3 linked regions of the Macaca mulatta genome follow. The protein of the gene in region 2 purifies or fractionates together with the protein of the main gene of each other region. This does not show direct contact. Links are inferred from orthologs where the notes say so. Each region holds a gene or a part of one and is shown on either strand. Other genes may lie near its edges.

What was found.
Region 1: the proteins of JOSD2 (region 2) and AHCYL1 purify together in Homo sapiens (affinity purification with mass spectrometry; 4 studies listed by BioGRID and IntAct, counting the BioPlex papers as one, with this or other methods). This does not show direct contact. The link is inferred for Macaca mulatta from reciprocal best matches to the Homo sapiens genes JOSD2 and AHCYL1.
Region 3: the proteins of JOSD2 (region 2) and AHCYL2 purify together in Homo sapiens (affinity purification with mass spectrometry; 3 studies listed by BioGRID and IntAct, counting the BioPlex papers as one, with this or other methods). This does not show direct contact. The link is inferred for Macaca mulatta from reciprocal best matches to the Homo sapiens genes JOSD2 and AHCYL2.

The regions. Positions count from the first base shown.
Region 1 is NC_133406.1:130,183,663-130,187,792, forward strand, and holds part of AHCYL1 (S-adenosylhomocysteine hydrolase-like protein 1), read right to left. Parts: intron 3,286-4,130; coding exon 3,142-3,285; intron 2,135-3,141; coding exon 2,034-2,134; intron 1,598-2,033; coding exon 1,495-1,597; intron 1-1,494. UniProt on the Homo sapiens protein: Multifaceted cellular regulator which coordinates several essential cellular functions including regulation of epithelial HCO3(-) and fluid secretion, mRNA processing and DNA replication.
Region 2 is NC_133424.1:62,895,750-62,898,889, forward strand, and holds the end of JOSD2 (josephin-2), read right to left. Parts: intron 2,404-3,140; coding exon 2,278-2,403; intron 1,361-2,277; coding exon 1,166-1,360; intron 1,061-1,165; coding exon 961-1,060; 3' UTR 802-960; downstream 1-801. UniProt on the Homo sapiens protein: Cleaves 'Lys-63'-linked poly-ubiquitin chains, and with lesser efficiency 'Lys-48'-linked poly-ubiquitin chains (in vitro). May act as a deubiquitinating enzyme.
Region 3 is NC_133408.1:169,039,570-169,043,699, reverse strand, and holds part of AHCYL2 (adenosylhomocysteinase 3), read right to left. Parts: intron 3,628-4,130; coding exon 3,525-3,627; intron 291-3,524; coding exon 196-290; intron 1-195. UniProt on the Homo sapiens protein: May regulate the electrogenic sodium/bicarbonate cotransporter SLC4A4 activity and Mg(2+)-sensitivity. On the contrary of its homolog AHCYL1, does not regulate ITPR1 sensitivity to inositol 1,4,5-trisphosphate.

The DNA.
Region 1 (4,130 bases), on a different chromosome or scaffold from region 2:
TGTTCACCATTAGGAAAATAGTGAAGTAAAATCACATAGCCATATGAATGAGTATTACAAATGATGCTGTCAAACTTTTCAGTGACATGGAAAACTACATCTGAAAATATTATATTTAGGTTATAAAACTGTATACATATTAGAATTTATTTCATCCATGTAAAGTAGAAAAAAGGAAAAGGAAAAAAATTCATCAAATACTCTATGTAGTGGGATTGTAGGTTTTTTGGGAACTTCCTAAATTTTTTGCAGTAAACACTTATCAGAAAAGAATAAACAAAAAACCCCAAAAGTATTATAAAGTTACTTTCTGAGGTTCTTAGAAAGATGAGAGGTCTGGCTGGGTGCAGTCTCACGCCTGTAATCCCAGCACTTTGGGAGGCCAAGGCAGGCAGATCAAACATCCAGGCTGGTCAGGAGTTCGAGACTAGCCTGGCCAACATGGTGAAACCCCATCTCTACTACAAATACAAAAATTAGCTGGGTGTGGTGGCGTGCATCTGCAATCCCAGCTACTCAGGAGGCTGAGGCACGATAATCACTTGAATCCAGGAGGCAGGGGTTGCAGTTAGCCGAGACTGCACCATTGCACTCCAGCCTGGGCAACAGAGTAAGGCTCCATCTTGATAAAGAGAAAGAGAAAGAGAAAGAAAGAGAAAGAGAAAGAGAAGAGAAGGGAAGAGAGAAAGATGAGAGGTCCTCAAAGAAACTTCATGGTGATTTTCTTCTGAACATTTGAATAATAAAAATTATTATTATTATTGTTATTAATTTTTGAGATGGAGTTTCACTCTGTCGCCCAGGCTGCAGTGCAGTGGCATGATCTCGGATCACTGCAGTCTCTGCCTCCCGGGTTCAAGTGATTCTCCTACCTCAGCCTCCGGAGTAGCTGAAATTACAGGCGCACACCACCACTCCCGGCTAACTTTTGTATTTTTAGTAGAGGTGGGGTTTTACCATGTTGGCCAGGCTGGTCTTGAACTCCTGGCCTCAAGTGATCTGCCCGCCTCGGCCTCCCAAAGTGCTGGGATTATAGGCATGGGCCACCAGGCCTGGCCTGAATAATAAAAAATTATTTTGTTTAATTAAACTCATGAATAGCTCATATATTTTCAATGCCATACTGAATACCAAATTATTTAATGCACTATCAATATAAAAGGCACTTCCTACTTGTGCTCTCTCACAAAACTGATAGCACGTATATAGTTTAACATTCTTCCTCGTTCAACTAACACCAGAACTGTGCATGTCCCCATGCCATTAGATTATTTTCAAAGGTCATTTTTAATGACTACATAATATTCCATCATGGATATACATCTTAATTTTATTATCCACATTCTTCCTGTTGAGGTTTTCACCATCCCCAATTTTACAGCCTCTAGACATATATGACATTGTAATGACAATTTTGATACATAAAAGTTATATGTTTGGATAACTATTTTGGGGCAAATTTGGTAAAAAAAAAAAAAAAAATACTGAACTTACCAGCTTCAGCCAGTGCTGCAGCTACTTCATTCTGAGTTGAGTAGATGTTACAAGCAGACCAGCGGCACTGAGCCCCCAGAGCACAGAGTGTCTCAATCAACACCTGTGTAGAGGTATAGGAAGACAGGGTGAGGAAGAGAAGGGCCACCCAGGAATGGAGAGCAAGCCTCAGCAAGATAACAATACCTATCAACTCTGCACCAACAGGCGCTACACTGGGAAGTTAGAAAGGGGTGTACTCCAGCGAGGTGGTGCACTGGTGTTTAACTTTACATAAAACGTAGGTTTCTAAAAGTCTTAATAACATTTTATAACAATCATATGTTTGCAAATCTAGACTTTCCTAGGTCAAGTTTGCTGAAAGTGGGTTTACACATACAAAAAACCCCCAGAAAACCCCACTATTGTGTAGCAGGGAGATCCTACTAATAGTTAGCATTTGGAGGTTGGTGAGTTAGGAAGGAAAAGTGAAACAAAAAAAAACATTGATTTCTTTCTTCCCCTTATCAGAAGTCCCTCTTTTCTTCCAACAAACTCACCGCTGTCTGGGCTGTGATGTGTGTACAGCCCACTATTTTAGCACCAGCCAAGGGCTTCTCCCCCTGAGCACGTTTCCTGAGTGAAATCAGAGCAGACATGTCTGTGAAAGAACAGAGGATTTGAGCTAGGTCTGCACTAGCAGTATCATCAGTTCCTGCCCCAGGGCTGGTCTGGATCTGTTGAGATACGGTGAGATGAGACAGAAAAACTTTAAGCCTATTTTCATGATGACTGGCAGCTTCAACAGCACAGTAATAGTGGAGAGCGGTCATGCAACCACTTGGAGTTTCTCTCTTCCTCTACTGCTTCAGCTTTATACACAGAGGACTGAACAGAGAATGAAGTAAATCCTTAAAACTGATCAAAATGAAGGGTAAATCTCATCATTCATTTGGGAAGAGAGGAAAGTAGTTAAGGCACTGGCTAACAGATCCCTATATATAAAATCATCAGACCAGAAAGACTGTACCCTCAGCTGAAATCACTAACTTCTGTTTTTCTATGCTGTCTTACCGTATCCTGTCAGTCTGTTTGGTTTCTCTATTCTCTTTCAGTAAAGAACATGCCTTCAATGTGTAAACAACACAAGAGTAAAGAGGACCTTACTGGGAGTGGTTGGGGTAGGGAAACCAAGATTCAACTGTTTGTCAGTCACTTTTACTCTGCTCCAGCAGAGGGTGCTCAGGACCAAACAAGACGCTAGGTCACCACATCCTTAGCTTAAAACCCTTCCTCATCAGCTGTCTCTGGGCAATCTGGGTCTCTGGCATTGGCAGCTATAGTAAGATCCCATATAACCAACTACCAAGTAGTGATCTAGGACTTGCCAATTCTGCCATGTAGATCTTTGAATACGGTGGTGGGGTGGGGCGGGGAGGAAAACAGAAACTACTCTGTGTGTCATCACCACATGCTGAGAACAGAAGGAAGAGAGAACAAGAATCCTGAGACTCAAGTTCCATAGAGAGAGAAGTGTGTATCCGGAAGTCCATAATACTTTCTTCCCAGTATACTTTCAAGTCAGCTTTCAAGTCTTAAGTTGTTTGTGGATTCTGATGGCCAACAAGAGGGTCGTTTCTCGTCCCCTAAACCACTCCCTTTCTTTACCTTGCTCTGCAATCTCAATCTCCCGGCGTCCAAATTCGGCCTGCTTGATGTTCTTCACACAGAAATTGCTGCTGCCCTTGGAGTTGGTTTGCTGCTTCTCTCGGGGAGAAACCTCATCATCAGAGCTATCTGTGTAAGATGCAGCTAGAGCCAGGAAAGAAAAAAACAAGGATAGAAAAACCTCAGTGGCCCCAACTCTACAGAGTGCAGTCCCCAAGGGACTTTCATTTAAGTCAAGGGAACACTCTTAATTGGAGTTACCTTTTATAACCCTCTCACTTCTGCTCCTCTAGGCTCTAATTGGTGGTATGAATGAAAATGTTGTGGATGCTTCCGTGTTGCAGCTCTTTCACCCACCCTAACAATATTATGCCATTAGTGCCTGTGATAAGGGACTACTGATTCTAAACCTGTACCAGCTATAGTAATCCCAGATAATAGAGGTACCTGGTCCCATCTGGATTGGAACTAGACCTGGCAAAAACAGAAGAACAATTTAGGGCAGATAAGGAACGGTATTTCTGTAGATTACTGGTTCTCAAATTCAAGCATCTGTCAGGATCACATGGAAGGTTTGTTAAAACATATATTGCTAGACCCCATGGCCAGTTTCCCATTTGGCAGGTATGGGGTGGCACCTAAGAAGTAGTATTTCTAACAAGTTACCAGGTGTTGCTGATGCTGCTAGTCAGAGGACCATGCTTTAAGAACCATGGATATAGACAAAAGTGATTAGATAGTCTTACAAGGGATTTTACACTAAGTTGTGCTCAAGGAATAGAGAAAGAAATAAATGGCACAAAAGGCAAGCAGCTCTGGTTCTATTGATAGCCCTGGGAAAGTCTGTCAAAATGACCAACTTAAAAAGCGGTTTCACATAAAAGCCAAAAATACCACTTATCCGACAGATATGCATGAGGATATACAACAATCATTCCTTACCTCTCAAATCACTTTTTTCCTCTCTGAATTGAGTATTTTCCTCATCA
Region 2 (3,140 bases):
TTTTTAATTTTTTTTTTTTGTAGAGACAGGGTCTTGCTATGTTGCCCAGGCTGGTCTCATACTGTGGACCTCAGCCTCCCAAAGCACTATGGTTACAGGCATGAGGCACCACATCTGGCCAGGGTGTGGACATCTTTGGGGCCACTGTTCTGCCCACCTACCAATCAATGGAATAGAATGGAGAGTCAAGAAGTAAACTCAGGCACGGTGGCTCACACCTGTAATCCTAGCACTTTGGGAAGCCGAGGCAGGCAGATTGCTTGAGGTCAGGGGTTCAAGACCAGCCTGGGTAACAGAGCAAGATCCCATCTCTACAAAACAATTTAAAGAAAGTAGTCAGGTATGGCACCTGAGGTCCCAGCTACTTGGGAGGCTGAGGTGGGAGGATCACCTGAGCCCAGGAGTTCAAGGCTACAGTGAGCTGTGATTGACCCACTGCAATCCAGCCTGGGTGACAGAGTGAGACACTGTCTCAATCAATCGAATAAAGAAGTAAACACCTGCTTTCTCCTTAGCAAGTACCCCCGTGGAACCCAGATCAAACGCATTCGTTCGCCACTGGTCTCTCTCCAGCACCGGCGGAGCGTGAGCCCCAGGGGCACGGACTTGTACTGTTTTCTGCTGTGTCACTGATGAGGAAGCTGAGGCCCAGCGGTGAGCAACTGGCATGAGGCGGCAGAGAACCAGGAGGACTCCTGGGCTCTCAGCCCCACCCACCAGGGTGTCTGGCCGGTCAGAGAAGTGGGAGTGACTGAGTAGAAGAGGCCCCAGAAGGGCGGGGCAGTCAGACACAGGCCAGGCGGCAGAAAATCAGCAGATTTATTGAGGCAGCAGCGGCAGTGGGGAGCAGGGGTGTGGGGAGGGGGCCGGGCCTCCCCAGGCCTTTCCCAGGCACGCAGTGTGCGCAGTCAGAGGGGGACGCGCAGGGACTGTGCTGTGGGCGCCGACGGTCAGCTGAGATCAGTCTGTCCGAAGCCAGCAGCCCTTCTCCTCCACCTCCTTGGTCACCACCAGCAGCACCTCACACAGGCCCTGGGCCAGCGCAGTCGCCAGGAAGGCCCTGGGTGGGAGAAATGGGGAGACTGAGGCTCAGCCAGCCTGGGCATTCCCTCTGGGGAGTGGGGTTTCAGGCCCCTGGTCTTGGAATCACCTCTGCGGGGCTCACCTGACTCCGTCCTCGTCCCCCAGGGCCTCGGGCGCCCGCAGCTTGGAGTCCAGGTTGTAGTAGATGCCGTCCACCTGGCGCAGGGCCACCCAGTGCCGCCGGCGTAGCGGCAGTGACAGCAGCCCCAGAGACACGGGCGAGGGCAGGTTCAGGATTAGTCCCAGCACCTGGGGCAGGGCCAGCTGGGACAGGGGCCTGTGCGGGCAGGGAGGGGACACCGCCATCAGGGCCTGCTCTGCCCGCCGGTGAAATGTGGCTGACCATGTGGGGCCCAGGCTGGCGGCGGTGGGGGCCTCCTGAACCCACCCAGAGGTATTCCTTAATCAGCCACCCTGGTTCCCAACACTCTCCGTTCACCCGCCCACTCAAACCTCCCACCCATGCAGCCGCCCAACCAGACCTCCCACCCATCCACCCACCATTCACCCAACTCACATCGGCCCTTCACCAACCACCATCACCCTGTCTGTCCAGCCACCCACCCACCAACTTACTCCTCACACAGCCACCCAGGATCCAGGCATGATCCGCCCACCCCACCGGGCCTCCCAGCCACCAGCCAACTTCCCAACAACAATTCACACACTCACCTCCATCTATGCATTCACCTCCCCGCCACCATCACCATCCAACTAGCCATCTACTGTCCACCACCCACCACCCAGCCACCACCCAGCCAGCCATTCACCCAACAGTGGACTCACCATGCCCCCAGTCCTCACCCACTCTTGGCCCACCTGCCATTGGTCTACCCCTCATCCACCAGCCACACACCTGGCCACTGGCCAGCCAGCCATCAAAACCTCCCATTCATCCACCCAACTCCCCAGCCTCCTGTCTGTTGTCCACTGACCATGAACACCCAATCCCCTCACTCCCCCTCACCCAACACATCCAACCACCTACTCAGCATTCACCCGGTAACCATCATCCACCCAGCGTCTCAGCCTGCCGACCGCCTGATCTCCCCCACTAACCCATCAGCACCAGCCTTCCTGCATTCAAGCCAGCCCCCCCCGGCCACATTCCCCTCCCTGACCCCCCAACAGGCTCACACGACAGGGTGCCCTCTGTGCCCGGCCCAGGATGTGCTGTGCGGCTCTGGGGCCTACCTCCTCCTGTCCCACCACACAGCGGCCAGGCCCAGCCCCTGCAGAGCGGCCATGATCACGTTGACGTCATAGTTGCCGGTGCCCAGGAGGCTGCGATGAGGGTTCAGCCGGGAGTCTGGGGCCAACCTGGTAGTGGGGGTGGCCAGAGTTGAGCTGGGGACCCGTGGAAAGGCCGCCCCACAAAATGGGGGTGCCAGGGGCCACAAGTTGCCTCAGCCTTTGACTCTCCCCGCTTCAGACCCCACAACTCATCCACCCTCAAGTCCTGTCTCTCCTGCCCCAACTCTGCCCTGTCCCCAAGGCCCCAGTTGGGCTCTGTCTTCTCCCCCAGCCTCCCTCCAGTCCATTCCCACGTGGCCCTGGCTCTCCCCTGCTCACAGCTCTCCCATAGCTCCCCAGCGCCCTGGACAAAGTCCTTGTCCCTCCGCCAGTCCCTTCCTCTGTCCTTGAAGACCTGCCTCAGATGTCAGATCCTCTGAGAGGAGGCTCCTGACCTTCAGGTTGGGTCGGGGCCCTGTCTGGGCTCCCCCAGTGAACTGAGCTACCTCAACGATGACAGCTGCCCGCATCACCCTCATTTAACACTGCTTGCTTCTCCCATGGGGTTGCCCTCACCCCTGCCCTGCTCACAGCCCACTCTGCTTCCTCATTTCCCCCAGGACAGAGTCCCACAAGGCCCTGCGTGGTCTGGCCCTGGTGGCTTCACCTCAGAGCCTCAGCACCCTCCTTCCTGGCCCCCTGGCCCCAGCCACATCCCCGGTGCCCACCACCCCCCGCCCCACCCCTGCCAACCTTTCCTCCAGCTCTTCCCCTGCCCAGGAAGGCTCTTCCGCCTGCCACCACTTGTCTCTGGGCCCTGCCTC
Region 3 (4,130 bases), on a different chromosome or scaffold from region 2:
TGAGGTTATAAGAGCTTCAATACTCTTGGGGTACCCATAGCATAAGAATCTAGTTCTGCTGGAAATCCAGGTACGTCAGATAGAAATGAAGCCATTTTCCTTTCTTCTTGTTGGGAAACCCTCTCCCAGGCCATAACCTCCTCCCATCCCCATTCCTGACCCCTACAGAATTGTATTAGCAGAAATCTGACCCACCATGTTTGGCTGCCAGCCCTCCACATTCACACATCTATCAATGCACCACCAAAAGTCATCTTCTGACTCTCCCTTCCAGGCAAAAACAGGAAATCCTGAGAAAAAAAGGAACAAAGAGAAACCATTAAAGACCAAAAGAGGCTGATCGCCAAATTTTAGTGAGAAGATTCTGGTTCCTAATTTCCAACTCTCTCATTCTGCTATAATCCTTGGATTGACATTCTTCACTGATTGGCATTGCCTTCAGCCCCTTTATCCATTCCTTTGTCTTTGATGGTCATTCTGCTCTTATTAGCCCAATGAGGACAAGTAGAATGGACAAAAGTATGACAGCTGTTTAAAATGTAACGAGAGGGGGCCAGGCACAGTGGCTCACTCCTGTAATCCCAGCACTTTGGGAGGCTGAGGTGGGTGGATCACCTGAGATCAGGAGTTCAAGGCCAGCCTGGCCAACATGATGAAACCTGTCTCTACTAAAAATACAAAAATTAGCTGGGTGTGGTGGTGCACGCCTGTCGTCTCAGCTACTGGGGAGGCTAAGGCAGAAGAATGGCTTGAACCTGGGAGTCGGAGGTTGCAGTGAGCCAAGATCGTTGTTATTGCACTCCAGCCTAGGGGACAGGGCAAGACTCTGTCTCCAAAAAAAAAAAAAAAAAAAGTGACTAGTGGGAAAAGAAAAACCAGAAACAGTTACTTCTTGATCCACTCAAACTGGCATTCTCACCATTTCCCAATTACACTTTAATTTTTTTTGCTTCTATACTTTAATCATCCCACCCTATTATTAAGAAAAAAAAAAGTGTTTTTCCACTTGCTAAAACGTTACTATAATTCATAGCCCAGTTAAGTGTCATGTTCCTAACGAAGCCTGATTAACCCAGCTGGAAATGAGCGCTCAAGGAATCTGAACTTTTCTTTTTCTTTTTGAGATGGAGTCTCGCTCTGACACCCAGGCTGGAGTGCAATGGCACCATTTCGGCTCACTGCAACCTCCACCTCCTGGGTTCAGGTGATTCTCCTGCCTCGGCCTCTTGAGTAGCTGGGACTACAGGTGCGTGGCACCACGCCCAGCTAATTTTTGTATTTTTAGTAGAGACGGGGTTTCACCATATTGGCCAGGCTGGTCTCGAACTCCTGACCTCATGATCTGCCCGCCTCAGGCTCCTAAAGTGCTGGGATTACAGGTGTGAGCCACTGCGCCCGGCCTTTTTTTTTTTTTTTGAGATGGAGTCTGGCTCTGTCCCCCAGGCTAGAGTGCAGTGGTGCAATCTCGGCTCACTGCAGCCTCTGCCTCCTGGGTTCAAGCGATTCTCCTGCCTCAGCCTTCTGAGTAGCTGGGATTACAGGTGCCCTCCACTACCCCCGGCTAATTTTTGTACTTTTAGTAGAGACGGAGTTTCACCATGTTGGCCACGCTGCTCTTGAACTCCTGACCTCAGGTGATCCACCTGTCTCGGCCTCCCAAAGTGGGAATCTGAACTTTTCTAAGCCTCTTGTTTGTATAGTGAATATGGATTTATAATCTGTCATGGCATTTATCATATATGTCCTTGTATCATTATTTATATATGTGTATTATCTCCTCACCAAAATATAAGATTCTGAGGGTAAAGACATTGCCTCATTTGCCCTTACAGCTCTTAGAGTAGGTCAGTAAGCATTTGTTTAAAAAAAAGAAATGGGGTTGCTGGGCACAGTGGCTCACGCCTGTAACCCCAGCACTTTGGGAGGCCAAGGCAGGCGGGTCACCTGAGGTCAGGAGTTCGAGACCAGCCTGACTAACATGGTGAAACCCCGTCTCTACTAAAAATACAAAAATTAGCCAGGTGTAGTGGAGGGCACCTGTAATCTCAGCTACTCAGGAGGCTGAGGCAGGGGAGTTGCTTGAACCCGGGAGGCGGAGGTTACAGTGAGCTGAGATCACACCATTGCACTCCAGCCTGTGCGACGGAGTGAGACTCTGTCTCAAAAAAATTAATAAATAAAATAAAAATAATAAAATAATAAAAATTAAAAATAGAAATTAAATTAAGAAATAAAAAAAAATGGGCTGGGCATGGTGGCTCACACCTCTAATCCCAGCACTTTGGGAGGATGAGGCGAGAGGATCACTTGAGGCCGGCTGTTTGAGAGTAGCCTGAGCAACAGAGCAAGACCTTGTGTCTTCAAAAAAATTTTTTAAGTTAGCTGGGCATGGTGGCATGTGCCTAAAGTCCCAGCTACTCAGAAGACTGAGGTGGGAGGATCACCTGTTCCCAGGAATTGAAGGATGCAGGGAAACACTATTGTACTACTGCACTCCAGCCTGGGTGACAGAGCAAGACTCTGTCTCTACTTAAAAAAAAAAGGAAAACGGCCGGGCGCGGTGGCTCAAGCCTGTAATCCCAGCACTTTGGGAGGCCGAGACGGGCGGATCACGAGGTCAGGAGATCGAGACCATCCTGGCTAACAAGGTGAAACCCCGTCTCTACTAAAAAATACAAAAAAATTAGCCGGGCGAGGTGGCGGGTGCCTGTAGTCCCAGCTACTCGGGAGGCTGAGACAGGAGAATGGCCTGAACCCAGGAGGCAGAGCTTGCAGTGAGCTGAGATCCGGCCACTGCACTCCAGCCTGGGCGACAGAGCAAGACTCCATCTCAAAAAAAAAAAAAAAAAAAAAAAAAGGAAAAGAAATGAATGCGTATTCACTGGGGTACACATTTACTATTTGTATTAATAAAGTATTAAATATTTTTCTATCATAGATACAGCCATGAAATCTTATAAATAAGTAAATTAAAATGAAAGAACAAATGAAACGCTGAGCTGTACTGCCAAAGAGTAAAGGCAAGAGGCTGGCAAAGTCCAAATTTCTCTATTTCTTTTGTCCATCAACTACTAGTGGATGCTGTGATCAAATATTAATCTGCCAGGTCAAGTCCTCTTTACTCCTGAAGCAGAAACACCAAACATTAAATCAGGGCAAATTACTTGCTGGAAAACCAATAGGGTCACAAAACTAAGGGTGAAGCATTTTCTCCTGTAATCCATGTTACCTCAATGAGTAGTGTTCACTAGTGCTCTGCTATTAGTAAATCAGTGAGTCAAAACAAAGCATTACCTAATAATGGAATATTAGACAAAGGTAGATATTTGTCAACTGTAAAATGGCAAAGTTAACTAGATCATATTTGACAAGCGAAGGCCAGAAAAAGTAAATTCATCAAGAATTGAGATCTATTTCTTCCAAGATAGTTCTTTTATTGTCAACCTTCTTTAAAGATTTATGCTGAAACAACAGAGCTTTTTGGAGACTTACTTTAGCCAAAGGCACAGAGAACAAGCTCTTACCACTTTCTGCTAGAGCAGCAGCCACTTCATTGAGAGTGGAATAGATGTTGCAGGCAGCCCATCGGCACTGGGCCCCCAGAGCACCTAGAGTTTCCATAAGTACCTGTATTAAAGACAAAGCAGGGGATGAGCAAGCCTGGGCCAAACAACTAGTCAAGGAGATAAAGTTTATATATTTTACAATCAGAAAATACAACAGGAATGACTTAGGCCAGTGATTTTCAAGTTGGGCTCTACAGAACTTCTTCAGTATTCTAAGAAGAAGGCAAGTATTGGGGGAAGCCATGGGAAGAGGGAGGCTCCAGCTGACTCTATGTTTTTACCAATTTAAATTAAGCCTCCCCATAAGATTTAATAAATCAAGGACTTCAGAGCCAAAACTTTTCTTAAAAAACACAGATTTACAGTTCTGCTTCTGTTTAGAATACACAAAGCTACAAGAGAAGCTCCCACCTTAATGACATGAAAAAGCTGGGTAGCTACTAGGAAGGCTGAGGTGGGAGGACTGCTTGAGCATGGGAGATGGAGGCTGTAGTGAGTCGTGACTGTGCCACTGAACTCCAGCCTGGACAATAGAGTGAGACCCTGTCTCCAAAAAACCAAACA